Linked DNA regions of Sus scrofa. The protein of the gene in region 1 interacts with the protein of each later gene in a pairwise test. Links are inferred from orthologs where the notes say so. Each region holds a gene or a part of one and is shown in the gene's direction. Other genes may lie near its edges. The genes, in order: PFDN5 and PFDN2.

Region 1 (4,535 bases):
AAGGCCCCTCCCCTTGGATTCAATTCCTGCCCCAGGAACTTCATATGCCACAGGTGCAGCCAAAGAAAAAAGAGGAGTTCCCCTTGTGTCTTGGTAATGAACCTAACTACTAGTATCCATAAGGACACAGGGTGGATCCCTGGCCTTGCTCAGTGGGTTAAGGATCAGTGTTGCTGTTGAGTCGCAATGTAGCTTGCAGGTGTGGCTCAGCTGTGGCTACAGCTTTTCCATTATGCTGCAAGTGCGGACCTAAAAAAAAAGACAAAAAAAAAAAGAGCGAGAGAGAGTCTTGGCCAGGTACTCTGATGTCTATCCTGTGTTCCTGCCCTCCAGAATCTGGGGAGTGACACTAGCTGTAATGCCTCAGTTGTCCTGTCCCCTTTCTAACTGGATGCTAGAGGCTGCTGTTCTCCCCACATACAACTGTTAAAGCTGTCAGTGCTATACACTTTAGCAGTATTCCTCACTTCTAGCACATGGTAACACTATTGAGTAACAAACCTGTTGCTGTGTTTGTTGGTTGATGAGGTACCTCCTTTGTGTTCTCTCCACCCACTCATCTCCACTCCATCTCTAGTCCCGCTTCATCTGCCCAAAGCCTCCTTTTACGACCAGAGAACTTAACAAGCTTCTTCCTTCCTTGCCAGTTGTCACTAGGGTTTATATCACCCACATGGTTTACTTTTTTTTTTTTTTGGTCTTTTTGGGGGCGCACCCGCAGCATTTGGAGGTTCCCAGGCTAAGGGTCAAATTGGAGCTGTAGCTGCGGACCACAGCCACAGTAACGTGGGATCCCAGCCGCGTCTGAGACCTACACCACAGCTCACAGGCAATGCTGGATCTTTAACCCGCTGAGCGAGACCAGGGAGCGAACCAGCGTCCTCATAGATGCTAGCCAGACTCGTTTCTGCTGAGCCACGACGGGAACTCTTTTTAAGATTCTTAAATTCAGGAGTTCCCGTCGTGGCGCAGTGGTTAACGAATCCGACTAGGAACCGTGAGGTTGCGGGTTCGGTCCCTGCCCTTGCTCAGTGGGTTAACGATCCGGCGTTGCCGTGAGCTGTGGTGTAGGTTGCAGACGCGGCTCGGATCCCGCGTTGCTGTGGCTCTGGCGTAGGCCGGTGGCTACAGCTCCGATTCAACCCCTAGCCTGGGAACCTCCATGTGCCGCGGGGAGCGGCCCAAGAAATAGCAACAACAACAACAATAACAACAACAACAACAACAAAAAGACAAAAAAAAAAAAGATTCTTAAATTCACAGGAATCCTGTTTGCTGCAACTTGTCGACGCTAGGCTTGGGATGTTTTGTGTAATGAAAGCGCTCCTGGGAGTTCCTATCGTGGCTCAGCGATAAGGAACCGGACTAGTATCCATGAGGTTGCGGGCTCGATCCCAGTCCTTATTTAAGTGGGTTAAGAATCGGCCGTTGCAGTGAGCTGTGGTGTAGGTCGCAGACACAGCTCGGATCCCGCGCTGCTGTGGCTTAAGCCGGTAGCTGCAGTTCCAGTTCGACCCCCAGCTTACGAACCTCCATATGCCTCCAGTTCGGTCTTTAAAAAAGAAAGCGCCGCTGTCTCTTCCACTCCAACGCAAGTAAATCACAGAGAAGACCCAGCTCTTCCTCCGCTCCCGGACGGAAGACCATAGAGATGTCGGGGGCAGCGAGGCCTCCCGGCGTAGCCATCGAGAGGCGCAGAGGACGGCTAGAGCGTTGCTCACCCGGCGGCTTCCGCTTCGTTAGTCCTCCTTCCCAACATGGCGCAGTCGGTTAACATTACCGAGCTGAATCTGCCGCAGCTGGAAATGCTCAAGAACCAGCTGGACCAGGTGGGAATAGGCCCCCAAAGACACCCCTTTCCACCTCACTTCCTTCCCGCCACGCGTACTCCCTCGCTCCCCATTCTTCCCCAGCCGAGGGAGGAGGTTTCCCTTCCCAGGCAAAACCCCGACTCGGTCCCAGCACCCGCCCCTTCCCGGCGGTGCCCTCCTCTCCCACCAGCCCCCGTACTAACCCTCATTCCTCTTCTCTCTAGGAAGTGGAGTTCTTGTCCACGTCCATTGCCCAGCTCAAGGTGGTACAGACCAAGTATGTGGAAGCCAAGGACTGTCTGAACGTGCTGAACAAGAGCAACGAGGGTATGCGGTAGGCGCGTGAAGGCAAGCTGGGGGTTGGGGCGAGCCGGCTTTTCCTCTCTCTTCCTTATCCAGTTGTCCTTATCTGAGACGAGAGAACGGTCCTTTACGTATTGCATACTGCTGCAGGAGCCCTTTGCATGTTGCCTTGGTAGACTTGAAATGTACAGGACATTCTTCTCCTGTTGCCCCTATTTCCATACTTATCGCACAGTCTCTGGGCGCTGTGCGGTGCTGAAACTCCCTTGAACGTGTAAAGGCTGGAGAAGTCCACCTTCCCTACATGTCTGTCTTAATTGCTTTCACAGGGAAAGAATTACTCGTCCCACTGACGAGTTCTGTATCCTTTCTGCAGGAACTGTTTCCCCGCCCACTCCTTTTCTCCTTCACCCCCTACCCTGCAAAAAAGGGCAGAGGTTCTAATTGCTCCAGAGATTCTGAGAATACTCAGTACACACTTCGTAGCTCTGCTATCTCATTGGAGCCAACATCCAGCTAATGTTTGGTGAGCACCAAGGTGTATGTAGAATTGAGGTGTGATTTTTTTCCTTCGCTGTTTGAGGATATAATCTAATAGGGAGATAAAACTGGTGGTTTACACTTTTGACTTGTTTTTTGGGTTCTTTTGCCTCACCCGCAGCATGTGGAAGTTCCGGGGCCAGGGATTGAATCTGAGCCACCTCAGAGACAACACTGGGTCTTTAACCTGCTGCACCGCAGCAGGAGCTCCCTACCCTTTTTACTAATAACTTAGAAAACAGAAGCAGTGGAAGAAGAGAGGATATAGAGACAAGGGGGTTGGCTCTGTTTATTAATCTTCAATTTTAGTTTAATTGTGGATCTTATTTCTAATCCGTTGTTACTGAGAAGCCTGGATTGTGTCTATCTGTTGAGTGTTTTACTTGAATGAGCCAATTGTGTTAACAGGGCACCTATAAACTGCACCTGAGAATTGATAGGCTGAAAAAGAAACACAGGAATAGCCGCATAGTAGGGACTGCTTAGATAAGGAACATTAAATCTATTGGGAATGACCTACTTCATGGTTGGGAGTGTTAAAGGAGAAATGAGGCTGGCTTTTCACTTTTACTATTTAACAGCATCAGGAAAAATCATTCCAGGAGTTCCCATTGTGGCGCAGCAGAAACAATCCACTACTAACCCTGGCCTCCCTCGCTGGGTTGGGGATCTGGTGTTGCCGTGAGCTGTGGTGTAGGCTGGCAGCTGCAGCTCCGAATCAACCCCTAGCCTAGGATCTTCCATATGCTGCAGGTGTGGCCCTAAAAAGAAAAAAGAAACACTGCATCTAGTCTTTATGGAGTTCCCATCATGACTCAGTGGTTGATGAATCCGACTAGGAACCATGAGGTTGCGGATTTGATCCCTGGCCTTGCTCAGTGGGTTAAGGATTCGGCGTGGCCGTGAGCTGTGGTGTAGGTTGCAGACCCGGCTCGGATCCCGCGTTGCTGTGGCTCTGGCATAGGCCGGTGGCTACAGCTCCGATTTGACCCCTAGCCTGGGAACCTCCATATGCCGCGGGTGCAGCCCTAAAAAAGACAATAAAAAAAGCCATCTAGTCTTTCTGGAAGGGCTAATGGGAAGAACTCTAAGAACTTCTTGGAGGGTGGCAGTGAGATCAGGGCAAGATCAGCATGTGTAATTTTCTCCATAAGGAACCAACTTCCCTGTGTCTCCCCTTTGGAGTGTGTAGGCCTCCAGATTATCTGATCCCGGTACCTTTTAAGTTTTTAGAAAAAGGGGTTCTTAGGAGGTCAAGCAGATGAGCCGACAGGAAATCAGGACTCATGCTGGGCTAGTTTTCCCTTAATCCTCGCTTCTCAGATGTACGTCCCTGGGAAGTTGCATGATGTGGAACATGTGCTCATCGATGTGGGAACTGGCTACTATGTAGAGAAGGTGAGTGGAAGGAAGCGTATGGATGCCCCGCTGAGGAGGCAGAGGGAGTTTAGGGAGAGATCCAGAGTGCACAAAGAGGTCTCCTCTTAGCCCCTCCTTCACCTCTGACCTTCCAGACAGCTGAAGATGCCAAGGACTTCTTCAAGAGGAAGATAGACTTCCTCACCAAGCAAATGGAGAAAATCCAGCCAGCTCTGCAGGAGAAGCATGCCATGAAACAGGGTAAGCTTGGCCTTGGGCACCTCTTCACCATTTCTACCTCCATAATAATCAAGAACATGAATTGCAGCGTGAACCATGGCGGGTGTCCCCTTTGTTGGATTAAAACCATGGTTTTCTCTTTGGTGTCTTGATGTATTATTCTTTAGATGCTGTGCATCACATATCCGCTATTTCTAGATTCCTGGGTTCAGTGCTTGAGAAATTTAGAGAAAGGAAATCCCATCTGTGTTTTTGTGTTTGAGATCCTATTTAATGTAGATG
Region 2 (4,392 bases), on another chromosome or scaffold:
TCCCTGAGGGGGAGGGGACACTGACAACTCTTCTCAAGTCTCTACCCTCATATCTGGCAATTCCGATATTACCCAAAAAGAAACTACCTCTCCCTCCCCCTTTCCCTGATACCTGGCAAGCTGGGTATATTCTCCCAAAAGTTTCCCACCCAGTGGCTCAGACAGGCGTAGCGTCTCTTCAGGGTCCCTTCCAATGAAGTCAAATGCCTCAGGCAGGAAAGCCAGGCAAGCGCCCAGTCTGGCAGCCTCTCGAACCAGCTCAGCACATGTTTTAAAGTTCTGCTGCTTGTCCGGTGTGGATGTTACCTGGCACACAGCCACGAGGGGCAAGTCCCAGGAGGAAGAGGAAATAGCCATGGATCTGGGTCTGTGAATGGCACAGGCAAGACTCAGATTTCCTAGAGTGGGGAAGCCCGAGTTTAATGATAAGGGGCTTAAAGGGGGAGGCAGGAAAGCTAGACTTCCCTTTAAACCTGCTCTTACAAGGCACAATGATCCATGCAATAAGGACCCACTGATCAAATGTTCTGTGAGTGGCTGGCACCCCAATGTTTCCCAACATCTATTCATTTATTGAGCATCTACTATGTGCCAGGCACTGAGGACACAACAAAACATGTTACCTGGGCTGAGCACAAAGTATTGAGAGTCGAAGTATCCGGAGCCGAGGACCCAAAAGAAGGGACAGGAGCTGGTGAGGAGGCCTGATGATGAAGCCCAGCCTGAAGAAGGTGAGAAATCAGGACACCAACCCCACCATCAAGCAATACATTTCTAAGATCCTTTGGTTTCTCTCTTCATACTGTGAGGCTGAATCTGGGCACCACCGGTAAAAACCCCTAAGTCTTTAAGACACTCGTTAACTATGGTTAATCACGGCTACCGGAAGAGAGCACAAAGTGGGAAAATCGAGGAAAGGGCTCTGCGCAGCATTCGAATATCTCGACTTCCAGTGATCTCACATTAAACTGAAGTCCTTTTTCTCAGCCAAACGTTTCCGCAGTTCAAAAGTCATCCTCGAGATATTTCCTTGATTTTCCCAGCCTCTCTTATTGACTGTGCACCTGCACAGTTTTACTGACTCAAAGCATATTTTCCCCCTTCCACCAGAATCTCTGAGAAGTTCACCCTACCCCACCCCGCCGCCCGTGCCTCACCACCCGCTGTGTGGGCAGAGGGCACTGGCACCCAGATCCCAACCCGCGCCCCGCTCTCCAGTTAACCCATCTGGAGACTCTCTCAGGGGCAGCGTCTCTGTTGCACAAGATAAAGCACCACAGGTGTAATTCACCGCGGCGGGCGGGCTAGGTAGCAGGTCCTACATGAAGGCACGGCCAAAACCATTAACAGGATCCGAACCGAACAGGGGCCTGGAAGAAGAGGAGCCTGGCGCCGGGGGCGAGTGGGCGGTAACTCCGAGACCGGACGTGACGCAAGGCGGGGGCCGAGCTGCGCAGGCCGGAAGCTCAGCAGGCGGTGAAGATGGCGGAGAGCAGCAGTCGCGCCGGCAAGAGCAGCGGGAGCGGCGCGGGGAAGGGGGCGGTGTCAGCCGAGCAGGTGAGGAGCTGGGAATGCGAAGGAGGGCAACCCGGCCGGGTCCGGAGTCGATGCGAGAAGAGGGGAGAAGCCTATGGTTGGTGTACGCCTTTACTATAGTCGCACATTTGCGTGGCCACCCAGAGAGGGGAAGGTCCTTGTAGAAGCTAGCCGAGCCCTTGGGGAGAGATAGGCGGATTGGTAGGTGAAAGCCACGCCCCCTTGGGGGTGTTGGGTGAGCCGAGGGGTGGGAGGGAGGAAGCTCTAGGGAAGCAGAGTCTGGGAGGTTGCACAGGTCTGAGGGAAGAAGGGTGGTCACTTTCCCCACTTTGCCTCCGCACTCTCAAACAGGCTGTGGGTGAGCAAGGCCAGTTCATAAGGAATCCCAGGGAGTTAGTCAACGGGTTGATTGTGTAGTCTGTTACGTGACCCTGAAACCACGTTTAAAACCGTCGTCACTCCGCAGAGCCACGTGACTCACATACGCGAATAGTCTAGTGTTCCATACTATTTTGATTCGGGAGTCATTATTGCACTGAATTTATTTAGAGACCAGAAATCCTTTACTAATCCGAGCTTACATTTCCCCAGTGCCTAGCATCCGGAAACGATTGAAAAATAATCAGAAAGCCCTTTGTTGCTTGGGAATCATGATTTACTAATAGTGGATCTAGTGTTTACTTGGAGTGGGAAGAAATCTGCGTAACAGAAAGGAAAACGTAGTTAAAACAACAGCTTTTTTGGTTATAGGTTCATTTATCAGTTATTTGTTAAACAGTTACTGTAGCAGAGGTATCTGCATAAAGATTTTAAAAATTGACCCGTGCAATCAGAGTTCATAGTCTGGAGGGGAAAATGCTAGTATGAGGTAGAAGAGAGATATACAGCCCTATGGGATTTGGGGGAAGGGGGAAGAGAAAATTCCTCTTAGGGGGAAAAAGGCAAGGGAGAAGGAACCTAATACTTTTTGAGGGTCTGCCGTGTGTTAGACATTCTGCTGGGTATGGGGAAACATAAATGAAATACGGCCTTGTAACCTTGTTTTCAGGTTAGCTCACAGACTCATTTGCAAAAAGAAACCAAACATTAAGCTTTACAGTGTTCTTCACAGGGCTTTTTCTTCTTTTTTAAAATTATAGTTGATTTACAATGTTTTACCAGTTTCTGCTGCACAGCAAAGTGACTCAGTGGTACCTATAGGTACATTCTTTTTAAAAATATTATTTTCCATCATGGTCTATCCCAGGAGATTGCATATATCCATTCTAAATGTAATAGTTTGCATATACTAACCCCAAGCTGCCAGTCTATCCCACTCCCTCCCCTCTCCCCCTTGGCAACCACAGGTCTGTTCTCTGTGTCCTCACTGGGCCTTCTGCTAGAGGAGGGACCCCTAACTAACTAAGCAGGAGATTGAGATTGGGGATTGGGTGGTAAAGGGAAGTGTGGAAAAGTGGGGTGGCTAAGAGTGTAAGGAGTGCAATGGGTTCAGACAGATCTGTGTTTGAATTACATTTCTACCTTTCACTGTTACTTTCAGATTAGAGAATTATGAGTTTATGGATAGTGGACAAAGCCATGGTTGTGGAGGAAATCCTCTAGAGTTTGCACAGAAAGTGAACAAAGAAGTAGAATAAGAGTGAAATCAATAGTTAAGTGATGGTAGAGAAAAAGAAACTCAAAAGAGACTGAAGAATTTTGATAATTGAGTTCTGAGGCCATTCCTTGCTTAATATTCTCTGACCTTTTTGTTCCAGAGAGAACACTGGGTAAAAAAAAATATTATAATTGTCACTGCTGCAAATTTGAGCCACATAGGCAAGATGGAAGCAAATAACACATCAAACTAGGCACTTGTTTTATCTTCTGTTATTTAATTACTGCTATTTGAAGTAGCTGTATTATTGTCAGGATGAGTTTCAGACTTAATTAACTTACTCAGAGTCAGTAACTGGGAGAGCAGGGCTTTTAAATGCAGAACTTGTGAATTAGACAGGCCTATTTTTTCTATTTGTACCATGATCATATTAGAGATATTTGAGCTGAGCCTGAAGGATTGGATAGATTGGAACAGGTGGCAGTAGAAATAGAATATAGAGAATCAAGAAAGGAGGGGAGATCTGGGAAAGCATAGATTGAGATGGAGTGCAGTGACTGATTTGTTTTGCTAAATCATGAGTCAGAAAGATGTCCTTAAAACAAGCTGAGTCATTGCATGACAAAGAATTTAGGACTTTTTAACATAAGCAGTGAGGGTGTCATAGAATGATACATGTTATACTGTTGATTTTTTTTTTTTTTTGTCTGTTTGTTTGCCTTTTAGGGCTGCACCCTTGGCATATGGAAGTTCCCAGGCTAGGGGTCAAATTGGAGTTAAAGCTGTTGGTCCTACACCACAGCCACAGCCATGTCAATGCTGGGTCCCCAACCTGCTGAACAAGGCAGGGATGGAACCCATATCCTCATGAATATTAGTCAGATTTGTTTCCACTGCACCACAGCAGGAACTACTGATTTTTTTCTTATTATGTAAAATAATACACGTTAATGTAGAAAATGTAGAAAACACAAGAAAAATTACAAAATAAGAAATAAATTATCCATGATCCTACTATCCAGAAATAACTATCCTTACCATTTTTGAATGTATTTTTTTTTTTTTTTCTTCCCATTTTTAGCTGTCCTGAAGCACATGGAGCTCCCGGGCCAGGGATCAGATCTGAGCCCCAGTCTAGACCTCAGCTGAAGCTGTGGCAGTGCTGGATCCTTAACCCACTGCACCACCAGGGAACACCCCTCCTTATGTTTTTGTGTATGTGTGAATAGATGGAAGGAGATGGCATGTGTGTATTACAA

Evidence for each region.
Region 2: the proteins of PFDN5 (region 1) and PFDN2 interact in binary tests that used the Homo sapiens proteins (3 or more experiments, as listed by UniProt). The link is inferred for Sus scrofa from reciprocal best matches to the Homo sapiens genes PFDN5 and PFDN2.

What each region holds. Positions count from the first base shown.
Region 1 is NC_010447.5:18,510,962-18,515,496, forward strand, and holds the start of PFDN5 (prefoldin subunit 5), read left to right. Parts: upstream 1-1,675; 5' UTR 1,676-1,757; coding exon 1,758-1,829; intron 1,830-2,035; coding exon 2,036-2,138; intron 2,139-2,443; coding exon 2,444-2,475; intron 2,476-3,977; coding exon 3,978-4,052; intron 4,053-4,168; coding exon 4,169-4,274; intron 4,275-4,535. UniProt on the Homo sapiens protein: Binds specifically to cytosolic chaperonin (c-CPN) and transfers target proteins to it. Binds to nascent polypeptide chain and promotes folding in an environment in which there are many competing pathways for nonnative proteins.
Region 2 is NC_010446.5:89,325,358-89,329,749, forward strand, and holds the start of PFDN2 (prefoldin subunit 2), read left to right. Parts: upstream 1-1,423; 5' UTR 1,424-1,482; coding exon 1,483-1,557; exon of another isoform or gene 1,558-1,700; intron 1,701-4,392. Other genes in the region: NIT1 (nitrilase homolog 1), read right to left, coding at 1-3, 113-367, 624-722, 1,292-1,344. UniProt on the Homo sapiens protein: Binds specifically to cytosolic chaperonin (c-CPN) and transfers target proteins to it. Binds to nascent polypeptide chain and promotes folding in an environment in which there are many competing pathways for nonnative proteins.